Alligator mississippiensis: one gene and its partner. The protein of the gene in region 1 purifies or fractionates together with the protein of each later gene. This does not show direct contact. Links are inferred from orthologs where the notes say so. Each region holds a gene or a part of one and is shown on either strand. Other genes may lie near its edges.

Region 1 (10,096 bases):
CTCTGGGCTTTCACCACACCCTTGTTCATTCAGCAAGGGGCTGTGGGACACACCCCTGTACAGCAAGCCAGGCCAACAAGCAGGAAAAGCTGCACCCACAGGATGAGGGCTAGTAGTTGCTAGTGGCTTTAATAAAGATCTGGGTGAGCGTAGGTCTTGGCTCTTTTAAGCTGGCACCTGCATATCTTTTGTTCCACGCAGGGCAGGGAATCTACATTGCAGTTGCTTCACCTAATCTTAGCCCTACACCCACTGTCCCCACCCTTCCCAGTGGGGATCTAGCCTATTTAAAACCCTGCCTTAGTAAAATAACAGCAGCTGTGGGAAAGGCCACTTTGAGCCACTCAGTGTCTAACAAGTGCAACTCAATATTGCTTCCCACATCAGGACAGATACCTCTCCCCCAAATAAGGCCACACAGGGCTTTGGCTACCAAGACTTTAATCGTAACCCCAGTTTGGTCTTATCACATTAGTAACTGAAAATTGTCAGTCCAGCCATACTTCAAAACAGTGCTGCATGTTTAAAAAAAGGGAAGGTCACCAGCTCCTCCCATGAGTCTTTAATTCAGATACAATCCTATAAAATAAACCAGCCTCTCCACTGCATTTTAATTACATGTCAAATTTACACAACTTTTATACAAAGTATGTACAAGAAGTGCTGTAATGCTCCTGTACCAGGAGCAGGAACCCTTTAATTAAAAAAGGATAGCAAAGGTGGTGTTAACAAGCTCAGAGGCCAAGGCCTCAAATGCCCCAGAGTTCAGTGGTTGGCCAAAATCCTCTGGTTTAAGACAGCAACTGTGAGTAAGGAAAGGAGTCAGACTCTGCTGCTGGCAGAGATGCAAGAACCAGGCAATACCTGCTCAGCCCATTGCCCTACCAGGAATTGAGCCCAAGAATGTAGAGGGATGCATCTATGAAAGTCTCTTCAGAAAAAAGATTTGAAAAAGCAGATTATATTTAAGACCCAGGAAATCCCTTTGCATTATTTTTCTAGGCCTGGATAGCTACTGGTTTAAACTCCAGGGCTTATTCATTTCATCTCATCTTCAAGACATTTGTTTAAGCCCTAGTGTTTACCAGGGTTATTTTCACAGACCCACAATTAAGTTCAGCGAGAGTATATCCACCTTCCAGCAAACAAAATAGGCAGGCAGGACTCTGAGGTGGGAATTCATAGCCAAGAACATCCAAGTGACCCAGGATAAAAGTTCTCCAGTGAATTAACAAGGAACACAAGACACAAAGCAAGGACTACAACAGTAAGGACTGTCCAGTTTGGAGTTTATGCCCCCCACATGGTGAAGGGATTCCAACTCAGCAAGAGATGAAGTGCAAGGCAGCTGTCCTATTTAGGGCTGCCCAGGATGCAGACAGTGGGTTGAGTCATTGGTCACATCCTTACAAGATGATTTGTCAGCAGTGTGTCTGTAGGCTCCTCCCAAATGTAGCAGCTCACTGGTGTAGGTGATTCAAGCAATGTTCTGGGTCAAGGCACTGAAACCAAGTTCCCAGAGCCCCAGCCTGGAGCCCAAGGCTATGGTCCCACAGGCTTTGGTGTTCAGCCAGTCTTGGTCTCAGGTCCACAGATTGCACAAACTAGATGGGAAGGATCTGCTCCAGAGCTTTCTTGGATGTCTGGGGGATTCTGTCTGGGAACCGCACATCAAACTCTATGATAAGATCCCCGCGTTGGTCTGGGTTCTTGGGGTATGGGAGACCTTCCCCAGTGATCCTGCGCTTTGCTCCAGGCTTGATGATGTCTTTGAATGACATGGGAATGGTCCTGCCATCCAGCGTTGGGACGTTCACCGTGCAGCCACACAGGGCCTGCAGAGAGAGACAAGTCAGAGAGACCATGAAATTCAACAAAAGGTCTGTACACCCCAGACCCAAAGCTAGAACTCCAGCGAGTCCTGTACCCAGACCCCCTAACTCACCTCTCGGAGGCTGATCTTAGCTGGGAAGATGATGTCCGAGCCATCCCTCTTGAAGATGCTGTGTGGCTTGTCTTTTAGAACAAAGACAATGTCGGCTGGAATGTTGTTGGGCGTTTGGTCACCCTCCTTGGGGAATGTGATCTTGGTCCCTTCCTTCCACCCCCGTTTCACCTCAATGGTTAGGATCTTGTCCTCGTTGCGTGTCGTCTTCCCATCCGGGTTGAGACGTTTGTGAGAAATCTTCATCTTCTTGGTGCAGCCCGAGTAGACCTCCTCTAAGGAGACCCTCAGGTCATGCGTGATGGGAGGGTCCTGCTTCCGGCGAAGGCTGTTGTGGCCCCCTCGGGTGCGGGGGAAACCCGCATTGCTGAAACTTCCCATTTGGAAGGTGACAAAAGGGTCATCAATGTCCATGTCTTCATCCCCATTCCTCTGCATGAAGAAGGTATCAAAGGGATTCCGGCCTCCAAAGAACTCAGCAAACACAACATGAGGGTCTCCATGGAACGTGTAGGTGAATGATGGGCCATTAGCACCACCTCCCATGTTGGAGCCACCTCCTTTTAGCCCTGAAAAACAGGCAATAAACCTGCTGTTAGTTTATCAGTCTCCACTTTCACTCATGTGCTTACCCCAGGATTCCAGATCCCCAGCTCCAGAACCATCCAAGCTTTTGGCCTCTGTTCCCACCACCATTGTCATTTTGTCTCATCCTTCAGTTCTGAGGTGCCTCACAGAAGAGAAGTCTCATCTTGACCTGGCAAGTACTTTCTCTAATCACAAGGGAAATTAGAGTCACCTCCAAGAGTTCTGATATCCAGAGCTTCCAGCTTTTCAAACACAGATCAGTTTATACAGTGAATTTGATTGTATCATTTGGGTTAACATTCCCCCTCCCCATATCAAGGCAGGGAACGTAGGAGCCTATGGACTTCCTATTCCTGAACTGAAGGAAAACACATGCTTAACAGCAGCCCCAGAGGCACAATAGCAATTGAGGGTGCTTGGAAACAGCAAGGCAAGCTCTTCCTGCCTTGGGAGATTAAGGCAGGGGCTGCAGGGAGTTCAAGTTAACACAGAAGATTCTAGCATATTTGTTTGCTTGTAACTCCAAGCCACGCCCTTGCAAGGCTCCACCTCTCCCAACACAGCCAATCCACACAGACCTGCCAACACTTTGGCACACAAGGGCAAGCTCAATGTCTACCAAGAACACAGGCCAGCTTTACAAAAACTGCAAAGCTGTTTCAGGATGTTTTCTCTCCTGTTCTGCCAGTTCTGGTTCCTCACCCACTGTCTCCAAGCAACAGCTCAGTCACAGGTATGAGCCAGGAGCTGCAAGGCTCATGCAAGGAGCAGTAGAACAAGCCTGTGTGCCCTCAGTGCTAAATTAAAGGCTTGATCTAGACCAATCCTGACACTTCCACCCTTAAGGTGGGGAGTCAGGCAAGCACACTGTGCCCCAGGTCCTTGTCCTTCAGCTTTAGAACAGGCCCCAAGAAAGCATGAAATAAGGACTCTTTACAGTGTCAAAGCTAAAAGTTAGCAGCTAGCAGCAAGAGATAAGGATTCATCTGGCCAGTTTCCAAGCCCGCACAGGTAGCAAGAGCCTGTATCCACTTTTTTCTAAGATGCCACATACTGCAGGTCTCTCCCCTGTTCCTCAAGTCAGTCCTGCTTGGCTGCTTCCTGACTTCCGTTTCCACAGCTAGGCTGGCGCCAGGGGCAGCACTGGTCAGCCCTAGCCCACAGCTCCCCTCAGAAGACCCATCAGGCTCATCTTCTCCAACCCAGCATTGGAACTAGGGAAGGGTTGCGGGGGGGGGGGAGGGGGGGAGGTGCTTCTGCCCTGGGCACCCCAGGCCAATCAAGCCTATGCAGACAGCTGTGGACTGGCACACACCTCAAGGAAGGCCCTCACCATGTACCCAAGCCAGGGATACAAGTCTCCCAGCACCTCATGCCCTTTCCCTTAGAGGTCCCAGCCCTCCCTCAGGATATAGTCCTTACCTCAAAGGGCAACTCTGCACTGCAAGCCCCAGCCCAGGGCAGTAAAGCACTGACCCCTGGCCAGCACTTGGGGGACCCTGCACTGTCACCTCCTCCACCCACAGGCTAGCTCCCCCCAGTGCCCTCCCCCACAGCCCAACTCCTCTCAGACCTCCCCTCCCCAGCCTGCACTCCATTCCCAGCTCCCCACCACAGCCCCACTCCCCCTGGAGAGCCCGCAGACCCGACTCCCCTCTCCCACCTATGGAGCAGGACCCGCCCCCGGGTCCCTCGGGGCATCTCTCCCCCCCAGCCCTGCCCCCCCCAGCGGCTCAGGCCCCGCTCCCTGGGACACCCCTCCCACTGTGCAGCAAGCCCCGCAGAGCCTCGCTGCTATTGGGATCCTCTCCCCGCCCCCAACCCTGCAGCCCCAAAGCCCCACACGGCGCGGGCGCTCACCTTCCTCGCCATACTTGTCGAAGACCTCCCGCTTCTTGGGGTCACTGAGCACGTCGTAGGCCTCGGCCACCTCTTTGAAGCGCTCCTCGGCGCCAGGCTCCTTGTTCTTGTCGGGGTGGTAGCGCAGCGCGAGCTTCCGGTAGGCCCGCTTGATGTCCTCGTCTGAGGCACCGCGCTGCAGGCCCAGCGTGCCGTAATAATCCTTACCCATGGCGCCGCCCGGCCGCGATCGCCGCCAGCGCCCCAGTCTCAGCCCATTTATACCTGGGCTCCGAACGTTCCAGAGAGCGCCACAACCATCCGGAGCCTCCGCTCCGCCCCGCCGCCCCAGCCAATGGACGCCCGCTGCTGCCGGCGCGTGACCCAACAGAGGGCGGGCGCGCGAGGACCTGCCTGTGTGAGGGCGGGGTGGAGGGGAGGGGGTAACTGTCGTCAAGGCCACGCCCTCACCTCTGTGAGGGCCAATAAGAGAGGGACGCTGGGAGCGACAAAGCCACGCCCCCTTTCCGGAAAGGGAGGGGGAGTATGTATGTACCAGAGGCTAGACGTACCTTACAGAGCGCAGTGTTGGTCACACCTACAGGGGGAAGTTACGCCCACCAAAGCCCTGCCCCCCCCCCCGGGGTGCCAATGACGTCCCAGCTGGGGCACCCAACAACAGGACTCCCTACCACGTGCCCGTCACCCTAGGCTACTGGAGCCCCCCAAAAGCTACCCCCCAGGCAGCAAAAAGACTCCCCCATATAGCTTCTTGCCCCACCACAGGGAGTAGCTGGCCAGGGATGGGGCTAGGGGACCAGGGGGTGGAACCCACCTGCACCAGGGCTGGAGAAGGTGCAGGGAGTCTGCCCAAGGTCAGGCCCTGTAGCAGGCCACTGCCTTCAGCTGCAGACCCAGCTCCCAGTGAACACCAGTTTTGGCTCCTGCGGCTACTGGGAGCTGCTCACCACGCGGCCTTCCCCACCCATGTGTGCTACATGCAAGATATTCCACTCTTCCTCACCATTGCCAATACCCGTTGTATCAGCAGTGCATTTCTCCAACTAACTCCTTTCTGTGCCTAGCTCATTAAGAGATTGACCCCCAAGAGCAATCTGCTGAACCCTACAAGCACCTCCCTCCAGCCCCATGCCTCCAGGTTCAACCCAACGAGCACGCGCACACCTATGTCCCCTAGCTCCCCCACACAAACACAGCCCGCCTCTGCTGCTCTTCCACTGAGCCTGGGGAGATGTAGCCCCTGTAACACTGCCCATGGGCAAATCTAGAATTTGAAAGGGGGGTGCAGGTGGTGTGGTGCCTCATTGTGTGCAACACAACACGTATTTTTCTCCAATTAAAAAATAATAGTAAAGTTTCTATATTAGGGGCTTAGGGCTGGATGTAGTTTAAGATAGAAACACAATCAGATATAGCTTTGTTGGGATGTGTATGAATTTTGTGTATCATATAGTCCATATAAAAACAAAACAAACTCAGAAAAAATAATTAAAAGACATTGTTTCATTAGCCCTGCAGTCATTAGAATGTAATGGGTTTTACATTAATAAAACTAAAACAAGCCTTCTTGAGCATCATGATGGTACCTCCAACGCTTCTCTGGAAGTTATTTCCACACCTCAGTTAATGTTTACCTCAGCTAAGGTTTTCACACCTGAATCAATGTTTTTAGATAGAGTTAAAAGTGTCTGTGGGGCTGAGTGATCAGAGCTACGTGACCAGGATCAGTGAACAGACAGTAGAATTGCAGAAGAAAGGAGAGCTTGATTAGTGGAACATCAAAACTACTGAAAAAGGAGAGGGTCCCTTAACACCAGTTGAGTGAAAAGATTATCAGGAACTAGATAGAATATGATGAGCTATGAAGTCAGTTGAATTCCCACACTGCATGAATAGAAATACTGCTACCTCTGCTGGCAGCTAGTTTTTAACATCTGGAGGAGAAACCAGGAATCACCACTGCACCCCCCCCCATCCCCCCAGATCTGCCCCTGACTGCACCCCACTTGCTCTCGGAACCTGATCTGAAGAGTCTGTGTGTGTATTGATCCCGAAGCAGCTGGCTGGGGTCAGAGGGTGCCAGGAGGAGGCAGACTGACAGGGAACTATGTCCCAAGTATGGCCCTTATAGCCATTAGGCAGGAACAGAGAGCAGCAGGTAAACATAGGGCTGGATCCTAACCCAACTTTATGCCATGCAAACAAGCTGCTCCACAGTCACCTGCTGGGTCCAACACTCCCCTGGGGCCTCAGAGCTGCTGTGGTGTGGATAGGACCCAGGCAGGAAGCTGTGGATAATGCCTGGGTTGTCGGGCAAGGTGCTTTGATATCAGGGCTGGACCCACATTCCCCAGGACCCACGTGCCTCCCTGCCCCAGTGCCAGACTCTCTTTGGCTCAGCAGGCTCTGAACCACCAGGCCCCAGGGCAACCAGCCAGGAGCAGCCCCAGATACAGGGATCAGGGCCCTGCTGAGGAATGGTAGTTCCCCATCCCCTGTCCTCTGGGGTGCTGCTAGCAAGGCCCCAGGGATGCCCCCTCAGAGGCCTTGGGTCTGGGTCAGGACCACAGTGGACAGGACTGGGAGGGCTTCTTAGGGGCTGGAAACCCAGACACCTGGGTTTTCTTCCAGCTCTGGGAGTGACATGGAATCTAGTGGATAGAGTAGGGAGCCCAGACACCTGGTTCTATTACAACCCTGGAAAGGAAGTGGGCTCTAATGGTGTAGAGCTGAGAGTCAGGATGCCCATGTTCTATCCACAACTGCGGATGGGGTGGAGGTTGGGCTTGAGTGGTTAGAACAGGGGGCCTGGAGCTAGGATGCCTAGGTTCTCTTCCCAGCTCTTGGGAGGACAGTAGACTCTAATGGGATAGGGCAGGGGGCTAGGAACAGAAAGCCTGGGTTCTTGTCCCAGCTCTGGGGGCAACGCAGGGTCTAGCTGGACAGAACGAGAGCTGGGGGGACAATGACAACAATGACACACTAGGAGCCAGTACACCTGGGTTCTCTCCCTGCCATACACTCCCGTCACGTTGCCACCTCCATGCCTCTGTTTCCCTCAGGGTAAAATCAGGGCTGTTTGTGACCTGGCTAAATTGGAAGGAATCCATGGAGAAATGATCCTGCTGTGAGTCACTGGGGCGCGGTGCAGGGCTGGTCTCTCCTTCCCAGCACCCCAGCTGTGATCCCAGGTAGGCCAGAGAGGGTCCTACAAGCGGCAGAGTTCTCCCCTGCCAGAAGCTGAGCTGGCCTGGCCTGGCTGGGTTCCAGCTGGGCCAGCAGCTTCAATTCCAGTTGCTGCTTGGGTTGTTCATCTTTCCTGTTTCCAGGCAGTGCTGTCCCACCCCAGAGGTGGCTGCATCCTGCCTCCAGCTGGGTGCTACATGGAGTAGAAAGGAGGTGTTTTTCTTTAGTCTAGTGCAGCAGCAGGGGGCATTTCTATAGACAAGCCCTGACCCTCCCCCACCTTACCGTGCTCTGAGATCTAGGTTTAGCCTGGAAATGCAGCCAGGACCTGAGCCAGCAGAATTCCTCTAGGGATTAGCGTGGGGGTTGGGACCTGCCCAGGCACTGCTTGCACTCTGCATGTCAGAGCAGGAGCAGCTGGGGTGGGGCCAACCAGGGGCTCTGTATATTCCCGCTACCCCTGAGCTGGGGGTGTGAGCTGAGCAGCCCAGCACCTAGCACTGGAAGCCAATTGGGGAGGCGGGGGGGGGGGGAGTGCCCTGAGGCCCCTGCCCTCCCCGATTCCCTACAACAGGTGGACCCCCATCTCTGTGCCAGCTCTGCCCTGCCCCAGATGCTAGAAACTCCCAGCCTGCATGGGCAGGGCTGGGGACTTGTGTGGGGTCTGCACCTGCTGGACACCAGCTGCTCTGGGCAGCAGAGTTCCTCCAGTATCCTACGAATCATGCAGTACCATGCGCTTGAACCTGTGTCTTCCCCCAGCCGTTCCCAGCTGGTGTCTCGTCTTAGCTTGGTGGGTCTTGGAGTTTGTGCTCTAATGCTGTACAGCACCTTACACCCTGGCTGTGGCCGGGCTTCCACAATGCACCTCATAATGCCCAGCGGCTTGCCCCACAGGGGCCTGCTGCTACTGCAGCCTTGACAGCCCCCTCTGGCTCCCCTGAAGGGAATGGATGGCAGCTGCTTGGACTTCAGTTAGTCTCTATGCAGTCTATATATATTTAAGTTATATTTAAGCATAGATATAGTCTGTAATGTGCAAATCCACCCTGACTTTCACAGCTCCTTGCAAGCCAGCCCCTCAACCCCCCTGCTTCTTGCACCCAGGGGTGCCCTGATGCAGCTGTGGATGGGCTGGGCATGCTGGGGATCAGGGAACAGCAGCAGGGTCCCTGGTCAGGGTCCCTGGCCCTCCCTGCTGGCTCCAGGGCCTGACCTGGGTTCCCCCAAGCTCCATGCCCTGCCCTGCCCAGCCTTCCTGGGGCTGCGGAAAGGGTGTGGTGCCCCCCTCACCGCGTGAGTCACGGGGCTGCGGCTCTGCCCTACCCCCGTGCCCTCCAGGCGGCTGAGTCTGGGGTGAGTCTGAAGCAGTACTGCAGGGCTGGGTCCTGACCCTACCCCCATAGCCCTGCAAATGCCCCTCCTCAGCCTGCCCATGCCCCCACAGGGCCCCGGCCCCCCTGGATCGCACCCCCCATGCCCACCTGCCCCCGGTAGCCCCCACGAAACCCTGCCGTGGCCACGTGCGTGGGCGGGCCCCATTCCCCCCCCCACCCCGTAACTCGATTGGCTCGTCCCCCAGTCACTCCACCCGCCTTCAGTGCTCCCTGTTAGGCAGGACGTCGTCACGCGTTACCGTTCCTATGGAGACGTTTGGGGCGGGGCGTTGCGCCTCGCTCACTCTGATTGGCTGCGAAGCCTCGGCCGGGACTCCTCGGATTTGTCGGCCCGGCGGGGGAGGCTCCGCCCCCCAGGTGAAGTCCGGCGCGATCACGTGAAGGTGGCGCGCGCCAGGAGACAGGAGCAGCAGGTGCGGAGCGCGGAGCCATGAAGCACTATGAGGTGAGGAAGCCGTCGGCGTACCCCTCGCACCGGGACCGTGACCCGCCCCCCTCCCTCGCTAGGAGGGGCCCACTGCCGGAGCGCTCCGCCCTGAGAGGTAGCGGACGCGCACTGCGCATGCACTGGCTGCTGGAGCGAGCCAGTACGCTTGCGTGGATTCGGTGAACAAGAGGGTGCATGCGCAGAGGAAAGTGGATCAAATCAGGCGGCGTGTACGCAGAAAAGAGGCTGGACGTGCGCAGGCGCACAAGATGCGATGAGGGTGGCGGGGTAAACTCGCGCATGCGCACGTGTGAGACAAAGTGGGGCATGCCCTGAGTGGGGCTGAGGACGCCTGGTTGCTGCCTGTAACCTCTGCCGCAGAGCCTTGTCCGCCGGCTGCAGGCACGGCCCAGGCCTGTGCATGCTCCAGGCAGCAGCTTGCAACGGCTGTCTCCTGCCTGCCCTCATTTGCCTCCTATATCCGCTTATCTGGGCTCTGCGGAGGCCTGGGGCGGGTGGGGGCTGCTAGTAGTCCTGGTCTGCCCAGCCAGCCAACCTGCTTAATCTTCCCAGGGAGCTGTTCCCAGGGGAGGCTGCATATGGAGGGTGTCCACACAGCCTTGCCAAGAAGGTGGGAGGGTACAGAGGCCTCCACACAGTGGTGGTAGCTCTGCACACACTCCCCTCCTAGCG
Region 2 (10,221 bases), on another chromosome or scaffold:
TGGCAGGTAGCTCATGTCCTCCAGCTGGTGGAGCTCCTCTTTCAGGAGGCTGGTCTCACACTCCCTGCCGGGGGAGGAAGCCAGGTCACGGAGCTGGGCACACCCCGGTGCCCCCTCGGCAGCCGGCAGCTCTCCCTTCGGTCCCACAGGAGACACAGAGCTGGGCGGCAAGGGGTGCAAAGCCCACGTGGACCCACGGATGAAGCGTTGGGATGTGGAGGGAGAGGAGTGCCAGCTCAGGTCTGGGATCTAACAGGGGGACCCAGCACCCCTTGATCCAGGAGAGCCCTGCCTGCCGGACACTCTCCAGCAAGGGCAGACGGACACCCAGCTCCTGACAGAGCAGAGCTGGGAGATCCTGGGCTCTGCCACCGCTGGCCTGCCCAACCCTGGGCATGTCCCTAGCACCTGGCGGGGCAGGCCAGGCTAGCAGGGAAGGGGGTTTAAGTCCCTACGTACTGTGCACCGGCCCCCACCATAGATGCAGATTCTCCATGACCGGCAGGGGTGCCAAGTGCTCTCACTACCCATCTCCTCTGCAGCACCTGGCCCCCACCTTGCACCCAGGCGCTCGCCTGGTCCAGACACTGACCAAAAGCCCTTTGGGCCCTGGCTCGTAGCCGAGGGGCTGATGCTCCCGAGGGTCTCTCCTCCTACCTGTCCGGGGTGGAGGTCCTGCGGCTGCTGGGATCAGCCCTGGCCCCCACGGCTCTCTGGGGAGTGGGCAGCAGGGTGAGCCTGGGCTTCTGGCCCTGCACCCTCCAGGCCCCATGGCACACACTGGTCAGCAGCCAGTGCCCTGCATAAAGAGGGGGAAATGCAGCCACGGTCAGCCCAGTGCTGCTCCCACTTGCAGAGAGCAATGCAGTTTTCCCCACCTCGGGCTGCTGGGTCCATGCATGACCCTGGCATCCACCCAAACCTGGCAACCCCGGGTGCAGAGGAAGGGAGCCCAGCTGTACCCACCCATGATGACGAGCACCAGGAGGGCAGTGAGTGCCGGGAAGCCCAGGGAGGCAGCGCGCTGCAGCTCGGAGAGTGCATTGGCCGCCACCAGCACCAGGAGGGCGGCACGGGGCAGTCCCGGCGTCTGCAGGAAGGCCAGGAGCAGGGCGGCCAGCAGGAAGTAGGCGGCATGCAGCGTGCAGGTGGAGATGGCCCCCAGGCTCACCCCTGCGAGAGGAGGGAGCAAGGTTGGTTAGGCATCCCTGGGCACCAGGCCAGCTCCTGGGCTGGCACCGGGGCCCTGCCGGTCCCTGCTCAGGCTGGGGGTTGGGGGGTGTCAGTGCACCCCCTAACTCCACCTGGAGAGGAAGGTCACCAGCTAGAGCCACAGGGGAAAGGACAAGAGCGGATGGATGGTGCTCCAGTACTGAACAACCTAGGGACGGCCAGCGAGGGCTTGGACAGAGGCTACTTTAGGAGCAGCAAGGACACGCGGCTTTATGCCAGGGGTAACTATACCCCAGGGCAGCCATGTGTCTGCTCCACCAGCCCAGGGTATCTCCCCGAAGGAGATGGGCTGCCCTAGTCGCCACGTGCTGCAATAGCACCAAGTGTGGCTGGGGTGTCTGCTCCTTACCCCAGGTTCAGTTACCCCACGGTAAGTGCTGCGTCTGTTCCCTAAGGCCTGCTCACACCGAGCTGTGGAGCCCAACCGGGTTCAGCCCCGTGTCACCTGTCCAGGCGATGACGCTCTGGACGTGCTGCAGCCGGCTCTCCACGCTGCTCTGCAAGTGCTCCACGGCGCCCAGCACCTGCCCCAGGCTCCGATTCACCCGCTGCAGCTTGCCCATCAGCTCCTCGTAGTACAGGCCTGTCTGGCTCTGGTAGGACTGGATCAGCGCCAGGTCAGACTCTGGGGGTGGAGGAAACCCGGAGCCTAGTGCCCATGCTGCTGGCAGGGGGCAGCTGGCTCTGGCAGGGGGGTCCCATCCAGGGCAGGGCCAAGGGTCCCAAGGAAGGGAGAGATGGTGGAGACTGCCTATGCCAGCTGCCATAGTCCCAGCTGGGAGCATCCAGCCCATGCCCCTCCTGCCCCGGTACCGATTTTGGCGTAGACCTGCTGGGTGCGGCTCTGCACGCGGCCGAGGTCGGCCAGGATGGCCCGGTGCCCCTCCTGCAGCTCCACGTCCTGCTCGCCCAGGTGGATGCTCATGTTCTCTGTGGGGCAGAGAGGGGCAGGACCCCCGTGAGACCCCATCCCATGCTCAGCTACGCCTGGGACAAGGAGCCTCCAGCCAGCTCCTGCGGCCCAGGGAGGGTCATGCCGGGGCCAGCTGCACCTTGGGGCCCCCTTCCAGACCTCCCACAGGAGCTCCAGGCCACGGGGATTGCAGGGTGGCCAGTGGGCACCATGCATGGGACAGTGCACCATGCTCACCCATCTTCCTGGTGATGCCCTCGATGAGCTGAGCCACCTGCTGCTGCCCGCTGGCGATCAGGGCTTCCTCCTGGGCTAGCTGCTCCAGGTTGCCGCGGAGGGAGGATGCCATCTGCTCCTGGCCGCCCTGCAGTCTCTCCTGCTCCACCAGCAGCTCGTGCTGGCCACGGACCACCCGCTGCAGGGACTCCTCCGTCAGCTCCTTCAGCTCCTCCTGCCCGTCCTGCCGGAGACGTGGGGCCCAGCTCAGAGCCCTGCGAGGAAGGCAACTCCCCTAGCAGGGCTACCCATGGGGGGCAGAAGCGTGGCTGGGGGTAGGCTACCAATCCCAGCATGCCTTGCTTTACCTTGTAGTTGGGCAGGAGCAGTACAGAAGCTGGGATGGACCAGAGCGGTGATTCTCAACCGGGGTGCTGTAGCACGCTGGGGTGCCACAAGACTGTTTTAAGGGTGGCACAGCATCACCACTGTCAAGCCCCTGCCACATGTTGCACTTGAGATGCCATTAACCAAAAATTACATCTTAGGTTGCAACTCGGCCACACGTTACAGCCATTAACGGCACTGTAAACCAAGGAACAAGCCACAAAGGTGTTCCACAAAAAAACAGGTAACAACTTTGTCGCTGGTTTGCATCACACCACTAGCTGAACTAGTGGCCAGGTGCTCCCCATGGCCATGACCCCCCGCCGCTGATGGGTCTTCTCAGCTGTAGGGGAGCACCATGACCCCCCCCTTCCCTCAATCAGCTGAGGGAGCTCCCAGCTGCAGGAGCTTGCTGGTACAAGGGGAGCCTGGGATTGTGACAACAGGAAGGTCTTTTTCCTCCAGCATGTCATTAAAACGTGGAGCTTGTCACCACCAGACGTGGTGGAAGCTGTGAGTTTAGCCAGGCTCACAAAGGGATTGGACATGTTCTTGGAGGAACAGGGCATCAGTAGCTATTAAGCACGGGAGCGAGGAGCACGGCCTCTGCGTCACAACTGTCTCGGGACTGATTTAGTCCACGGCAGGACTGATGCGACACCAAGCTCCCCCTGCACTAGCAGCAAGGCGTGATGGGAGGCTCAATCCCACAATCGCACCTCTGGCCATAATCACACCTCCGGCACACGTGGCATGGCAGGAAGCGTGATTGCGTGGATTGTGCATTAGATCCCATCACACCTTTACCTGCACATCTGGTAGGGGCCGTAGCTCTGCAAAACACGTACATGCGATTCACAACATAAACCCAGAGATTTCAAACAGGAATCATAAAAAATGAGGGTTGGAGGGATCTCCGGAGGTCCCATCTAGTCCAACCCCCTGCTCCAAGCAGGACCAGCCCCAGCTACATCATCCCAGCCAGGGCTTTGTCTACCCGGGTCTTCAAAACCTTCAAGGATGGAGACTCCCCCACCTCTCTGGGGAGCCTGGCCCAGTGCTTCACCACCCTCCTCATGAGAAAGTTCTTCCTAATATCCAGCCTCAACCTCCCTTGCTGCACTCCCGCGTCCAAACCGTTCTGCGCTGCTGTGGGCTCGCTGGGCTGTTTGCAACAGAAGAATTGCTCTAGGACTTGGTCATTGTCGGACATGGGGTGAAAGCAAAGAGCCGGTATTTTTGGAGAGTGCCCCAAGTCGAACGGGGTTGAGAGAGTATGGGAGAAGCCAGGGTGTTGGGGCGATATCTTTTATTGGACCAAACACATGGCAAGTAGGCGGCATGCAAGCCTTGGGGCACAGAGGGTCCTTTGGGGCTGAGAAAGCCACAGCCTCCAACATCCTGCTTGCTTAAAAGGCTGTTCATGTCCCCTCCAGAAAGCCCAGGCCGTGCCCCCATTACAGAGGAAGACCAGTAATGGAAGGGATTTCTCCCCAGTATGCACCAGTCTGAGTTGGGGGGAAATCCCTTCCTGCCCCCAGGGCAGCATGAGCGTGGGGGCAAGACCCTCCAGCCAGGACCCTGCGGGGTTGGTGCCAGCTGGCCACACTCTGGACCCAAGCCCCGCGTCACCCCAGCTGCCCGGCAAGTCAAGTCCTTGCTGGGACACCCACCTTGAGCATCCTCATGGCCTCCAGCTGGCCGGCGGCCGTGGAGACCAGCGCGTTGACCGTCTGCTCCGTCCGGCGCCTGAACTGCAGCTGGCGGGTGGCGTAGCAGACGGCTCGGGCCCGGTTGCTGACGATGTGGTAGGCGTTCCAGGTGTCGGGGTCCATGCCCGCCGTGCACGCCGCGAGGCTCTGGGGGAGAGGGGGCCGGGCAGGGTTACGGTACAGAGCCGGGGCGCAGAGCAAGGGGAGACTCGAGTCGCGTGGGGGGCACCTGCATGGTGCAAGAGGGCTGGGCAGCACAGGGCAAAGGGCGGGGGTGCAACGAGCTCCACCGCCCCCATGCAGACCGAGGGAGGGTCTCGACCCGGCTGCCCCAGCGGGACCCCGTACCATGCCGGCGGTGCAGGGGTAGGTGCGGCGCCCCTCGGCGCTGGCCTGGCAGTTGAAGAGCGACACCCCCAGCTTGGCCACCTCCTCCTCGGCCATGTCGGCGCAGGACGAGCGGAGCCGGGCCACGACCTGCGGGCGGGCAGGCGGGAAAAGCACCGTGACGCCAGGGCCCGACTCGGTTTCCCTCCCAGCCCCGGCGCAGACCCACGAGGGCCCGGCTGCGCTGGGAGACGCACCCCGGGGCTGCCAGCAGACGCGGTCCCCGGGGAGCCCAGGGGCCACGCCGCCCAGGGGCCACGCCTTCACCTGGTGGTGGCACGCGTCCAGCGCAGACAGGTCCAGGAGCCGGGCCTCGGCCAGGAAGCGCTCGTCGCCCGCGCCCATCTCGAAGGGGGCCGCAGGGCGGGGGGCCGGCGTGGGGCTGGCCGGGGGGCCACGCAGCCACCCGAAGAGCCCGTGGCAGGGCGCGCACAGCAGGGCGGGCAGCAGGACAGCCCAGCAGTTCCACGGCAGCATCGCTGGGGGCGCGGGGACGCTGTGGGGTGAAGGGGCCGGGTGGGGTTTAGGGTAGGGGGCTGCCGTCCCAGCCCCTGCAGCCTCCCCGGGCCAGAGCAGGGCCCAGCCCCGTGGCAGTGGCAGGAGCCCCACGTGCACACACGTGTGCGCCGTGGGCCACAGCCCTGTGCACTCAGCACTAGGGGAGGGTGCCTGTGTGCACACACATGTGTATGAGTGTGCGTGCCTGGATGCACACAGGACCACGCATGTGCATGCCTGCGCACATGTGCATGTGGGGGAGCATGCACGCCTTTACATGCATGTGCATCCGTGCATGCATTGCCCGTGCATGTGTAGCATGCCCAGATACGCATATGAGTGTGTGTGCACATGTGCATCCGCGTGCGCATCGCCTGTGTGTGTGTGTGTGTGTGTGTGTGTGTGTGTACACACGCATGAAGTCAGGTCCCACCCCTACCGGGAAAGGCGCAGGAAGTGGGCGGGACCTGTTGCTGAGCAGGTTACCATGGAGACGGTGCAGCCCCCCCCCCTTACCTGGTTACAGAGCAGCCGGAGCAGGGGAAATCCCCCGGGGGCCCCTATGACGCCACCGGCCCGTGACACCGCCCCCAGCGGCAGCCAATCCGCGGAGCGAGGGCGGGGCAAGCTCGCTCGGCGTGGGTGGGGGGCGGGCACGCGGGGCGGGGTCCAAACCCCCACGTGGGGGGCCACGTGACGCGGGTTCATGCGCCCACGTGGGGCGCGGGGTCACGCGGGCGGGGCGGGGCCCACGCGGGACGCATGGAGCCGCCGGGGCCGCGCGTGGGCTTCGTGGGCGCCGGGCGCATGGCGCTGGGGGTGGCCCGCGGGGCCGTGCTGGCAGGTGGGGCCGGGCCGCTGCCCCCACGGGCATCCCCCTATCTCCGCCGGGGCTTGGGGGTGTGGGGTGGGGAGGGGAGGGGGGCCAGGCGCTGACCCGTGCCCCGTGTCCCCCCAGGGAAGGTGCCGGCTGCCCAGGTGTGGGCCAGCGCCCCCAGCACCCGCAACCTGCGCGCCTTCGAGGTGAGCCCCTCGCGGGCGGGCGGGCGGGTGGGGCGGGGGGCGCTGGTGGGGACCCAGGTCCGAGGAGGGGGAGGTGCTGGGCGCGGGGCTGACCCGCCCCGCCCCGTCCCCTCCCGTCCCCGCGCAGGAGCTGGGCTGCCGGACCACGCACAGCAACGGGGAGGTGGTGCAGAGCTGCATCCTGGTCTTCCTGGCCACCAAGCCCCACGTGCTGCCCGGCGTGCTGCAGGAGATCGCCCCCCTCGTCACCCCCAACCACGTCCTCGTGTCGCTGGTGGCGGGGGTCACGCTGCAGACCCTGGAGCAGGTGAGTGGCGGGAGAAGGGCCCCGGGGCGGGCGGCCCGCCCCCCGCCCCGCCCCGCGCGGCCCCGGCTCGGCCCCACCTCCGTGTCTTCCTGCAGATGCTGCCGCCCGGGACCAAGGTGCTGCGGTTCATGCCCAACCTGCCGTGCGTGGTGCAGGCGGGGGCGGTGGTGTTCGCCCGGGGGCGCTGCGCGGGGGAGCGTGAAGCCGCCGTGCTGCAGGGCCTGCTGGCGGCCTGCGGGCTGTGCGAGGAGGTGCCCGAGTCCTACATCGACATCCACACCGGGCTCAGCGGCAGCGGCGTGGCCTACGTGAGTGCCGGCGGCGGGACCCCGCGGGCCTGCCTGGGCGCCTGCGCTGCGGCCCGACTGCAGGCGCGCCCGAGTGTTGCTCTGCGGCTTCGGTCCGGGCGTTTGGGGCTCCCTGACCCTTGCACGGGGCCCAGCCGTGCTCTGCTGCGGGGAGCACCCCCTAGGGTGGGTTGGGGCCTGGGTGTCCCTTGCCAAAGGAGCACATGGCTGCCCTGGGGTAAGCTGGACAGACGGCGCCTGTCCCAGGACAGCCTGCACCCGTGTCGTCATGCCCCTTGCTCTCCTAGGGGTAGCTATCTGACACGGGCCGCGGCAGGTCTCGTCGTCTCCTCTGCTTCACGCCTAAGCCGAGGCAGATTACGCCGGTGTAACCATCTCGTCTGTCCGTGCCCCTGAACTGGCCCCAGAAGGCCCCCCACTACCTCTTGCCTTGCCAGGCTGAGCGCTCTGGCCTTGACCTCCGCCAGACGCTTTGCGTTGTGGGCACGACCCACGAAGGATCGTGGCAGGATCCAGCTGTGATCCAGTGGGACCGGGGCCGCCAGCGCAGGGTGGAGCACGTGGCTCTGCCGGGCTCCGTCCTCCAGAAGCAGCAGGTTCACGGCCGTGGGCTAATGGTGGGCTGTTCTCCCCCCACCAGGTCTACATGTTTGCTGAAGCCCTGGCGGAGGGAGCAGTGAAGATGGGCATGTCCGGGCCCCTGGCCAGCCGGATCGCTGCCCAGACCCTGCTGGTGAGCACACACCTGGCTTGCCTGCCAGGAGCTCCCCGTCCTGCCCTTCCCGGGGCGCTCTGTCCCCAACCCCTGCTCCTCCAGCCCCAAGCCTCCCTCTGCTGCAGGTCTGGTTCTGGGGGGAAAGTCCTTGGTTGTGTCCCTACCTCCTGCTTCCCTGTGGCTCCCTCTCCCCTCCTGGGGACTCTTCTCCAAGGGGCTGTGGCACTCCCAGCCGGGCTGGCGTCCCCTTAGGATCCAAGCAGCTGGAGACCACTTGGCTCCAGCCGCTGGAGTCTTAGGGCTGAGCTGGGGGAAGCCAGGCAGATGCCTTGTAATGGCTGAGGAAGCATCTCTATCACGCTGGGCACTGACGTTGTTGGAAAGATCGAAGCCGTGTGAGCAGAGGAGCTGGAGTGCAGCTTAGTGTTAGGCGCAGCACCAGGTCACCAGTCCCAGCCTGGTCTGATCCCCCCTGGCCAGGCTCTTGGAGGCATCGTGAGCAGGGGTCAGGCACCTACCTCGTGCATGCAGCGGGTTCCTTGAGCTGGGTGGATGCCACGGAAGTGCGAGAGGAGGGAGCGTGTGGCCGTAGCATGGGCTCCAGCAGGAGCAGGGGTGCTGTGAGATGCACCCCACCCCCCACACCTTGCCTCTGCCTGCAGGGAGCAGCCAAGATGATGCTGGAGACAGGGGAGCACCCGGCCAAGCTGCGGGCGGATGTGTGCACACCCGGCGGCACCACCATCCACGCCCTGCACGAGCTGGAGAAGGGCGGGCTGCGGGCTGCTGTCATGAACGCCGTGGAGGCTGGCACCATTCGGGCCCGCGAGCTGGGCAAGAACTAGGGCCTGCAGCGCAGCACCATGGAGGCTGCCCGGAGCATGCCAGGCCGGGGCAGGTGTCGCCCTCCTAGCCCTGCTCCTTCGTGGACGTGACTTTCACTGCCCAGGGAGGCGGCTTTCCACGGGAGGGTTGGGACCTGGGCCTGCTCTGTGCCTGCTGGTTGTGCTCTCAGTGGGCCACGGCTCCAATAAATGGTGCAGGCAGCTGCTGTGCTGTTCCCCTTGGCTCCTCGGGGTCTCCTGTGTCCTGCGATCATGGAGAAGCCAGGCTGGAAGAGACCGGCAGAGGTCACATCCGGTCCAACCCCTTCCTGAGGCAGGATCAGCCCTGTGCAAACCAGCCCAGACCCATCCATCATCTAAACTTTAAAACTGCTGTCATCCCTGACACGTCACCAGATAGGGCACCCTTCCTGCCCGCAGTGCAGCGTCGGTCTGAGCCCGAGCGGAGGGGCAGGATCCTGCTGGGTTGGTTCCATCAGGAGCATTGGTGCAGCCCAGTAGCTGCCCAACCTCTCCTTGAACACCTCCAGTGACGGAGAGGCTCCCACTTCCCTGGGCTTCTCTCCCTGCCCTGACACCATGGAGGTTTTTCCTGACATCCAACCTAAACCTGCTTTGCTGCAACTTCAAGTCATTGGTGTATGTGTTGCTGTCAGGATTTGCAGCTCCTGCTTGGCTGAGCACCGCCTGCATGTGTCCCGGGGGTCAGTGCCACATGTCATGCTCCCAAGATGCTCTGGGGAGGAGGTTGGATGTGCTCTCTGGCTCGCAGCTGGACCCCTGGCCTCCCACAGCCCTGCTGGGTTTTGGTTGGAGCAAGGAGGGGAATAGCAACAGGTCCTAGCAAAGAGGAAGCCCCTCGGTGCATCCTAGGAGCCCTTGGACTTTGTTGCACTCTCAGCTCTGGCACTGCCAGGCTGGCCAGTGGCACCTGGTCTAGATGCAGAGCTGTGATGAGTGACACCACGTCACCTGAAGATGCTGTCTGCTGCCCCGGCCAGCTGGGAGAGTGGTCAGCAAGGCTGAGCACAGCAGCTCCTGTGTCCTGGGCAAGGCTCGGTGCCTGTCCCAAAGCTCAGCATGGCCAGCCCCGGCTAACTGAGACCCATCTGACTCGTAGAGCTGCATTGGGCCAAGTGGGGCACCGGGAGGCTTTGGCAGCAGGGAAAACGCAGCTAGGACAAGCCACCAAGGCTGTCAGCTGTGCTCCATCCGCTCGGACCCTTCCCTGCCCTGCACCTGTGGGCCTCTAGCAGGTGGGTGTTGCTCCAGGTGGCACCTGGGGGGACCAGGAGAGATGCTGGTGGCAGGTGCTGCTGAGGAGAGCGGATCCTGCCCCCCCAAGCAAAAGCGATGGGAAAGAGGGTGATGTGTGTTCTCCCAGGCCGTCTCCTCTCCGGCCAGGCAGGAACTGGAATTCCTTCTACCAAATTATCCCAGTCAAAGATATCAGCACCATCTCCAGGCCTATGGACATTTCCAACGCTCACCCTGGACATTTCCTGCTGGAGCCGGGGGCAAGTGATTAGTGAGGAGAGGCTGAGGGACCTGGGTTGATTCAGTCTGGAGAAGAGAAGACGGAGGGGGATTGAATAGCAGCCTTCACCTCCCTGCAGGGGGGCTGCAAAGAGGATGGAGCTGGGCTGTTCTCAGTGGGGGCAGATGGCAGGACAAGGA

What was found. The genes of interacting proteins can lie anywhere in the genome.
Region 2: the proteins of DNAJB1 (region 1) and PYCR3 purify together in Homo sapiens (affinity purification with mass spectrometry; 3 studies listed by BioGRID and IntAct, with this or other methods). This does not show direct contact. The link is inferred for Alligator mississippiensis from reciprocal best matches to the Homo sapiens genes DNAJB1 and PYCR3.

Annotation. Positions count from the first base shown.
Region 1 is NC_081831.1:24,775,825-24,785,920, forward strand, and holds DNAJB1 (dnaJ homolog subfamily B member 1), read right to left. Parts: upstream 4,715-10,096; 5' UTR 4,605-4,714; coding exon 4,394-4,604; intron 2,515-4,393; coding exon 1,946-2,514; intron 1,836-1,945; coding exon 1,605-1,835; 3' UTR 548-1,604; downstream 1-547. Other genes in the region: TECR (very-long-chain enoyl-CoA reductase), read left to right, coding at 9,407-9,421. UniProt on the Homo sapiens protein: Interacts with HSP70 and can stimulate its ATPase activity. Stimulates the association between HSC70 and HIP. Negatively regulates heat shock-induced HSF1 transcriptional activity during the attenuation and recovery phase period of the heat shock response.
Region 2 is NC_081826.1:2,211,922-2,222,142, forward strand, and holds PYCR3 (pyrroline-5-carboxylate reductase 3), read left to right. Parts: upstream 1-6,074; 5' UTR 6,075-6,108; coding exon 6,109-6,190; intron 6,191-6,304; coding exon 6,305-6,369; intron 6,370-6,496; coding exon 6,497-6,676; intron 6,677-6,771; coding exon 6,772-6,984; intron 6,985-7,624; coding exon 7,625-7,717; intron 7,718-8,361; coding exon 8,362-8,544; 3' UTR 8,545-8,759; downstream 8,760-10,221. Other genes in the region: protein brambleberry, read right to left, coding at 1-160, 658-799, 967-1,173, 1,679-1,858, 2,047-2,163, 2,384-2,606, 4,423-4,608, 4,810-4,938 and 1 more.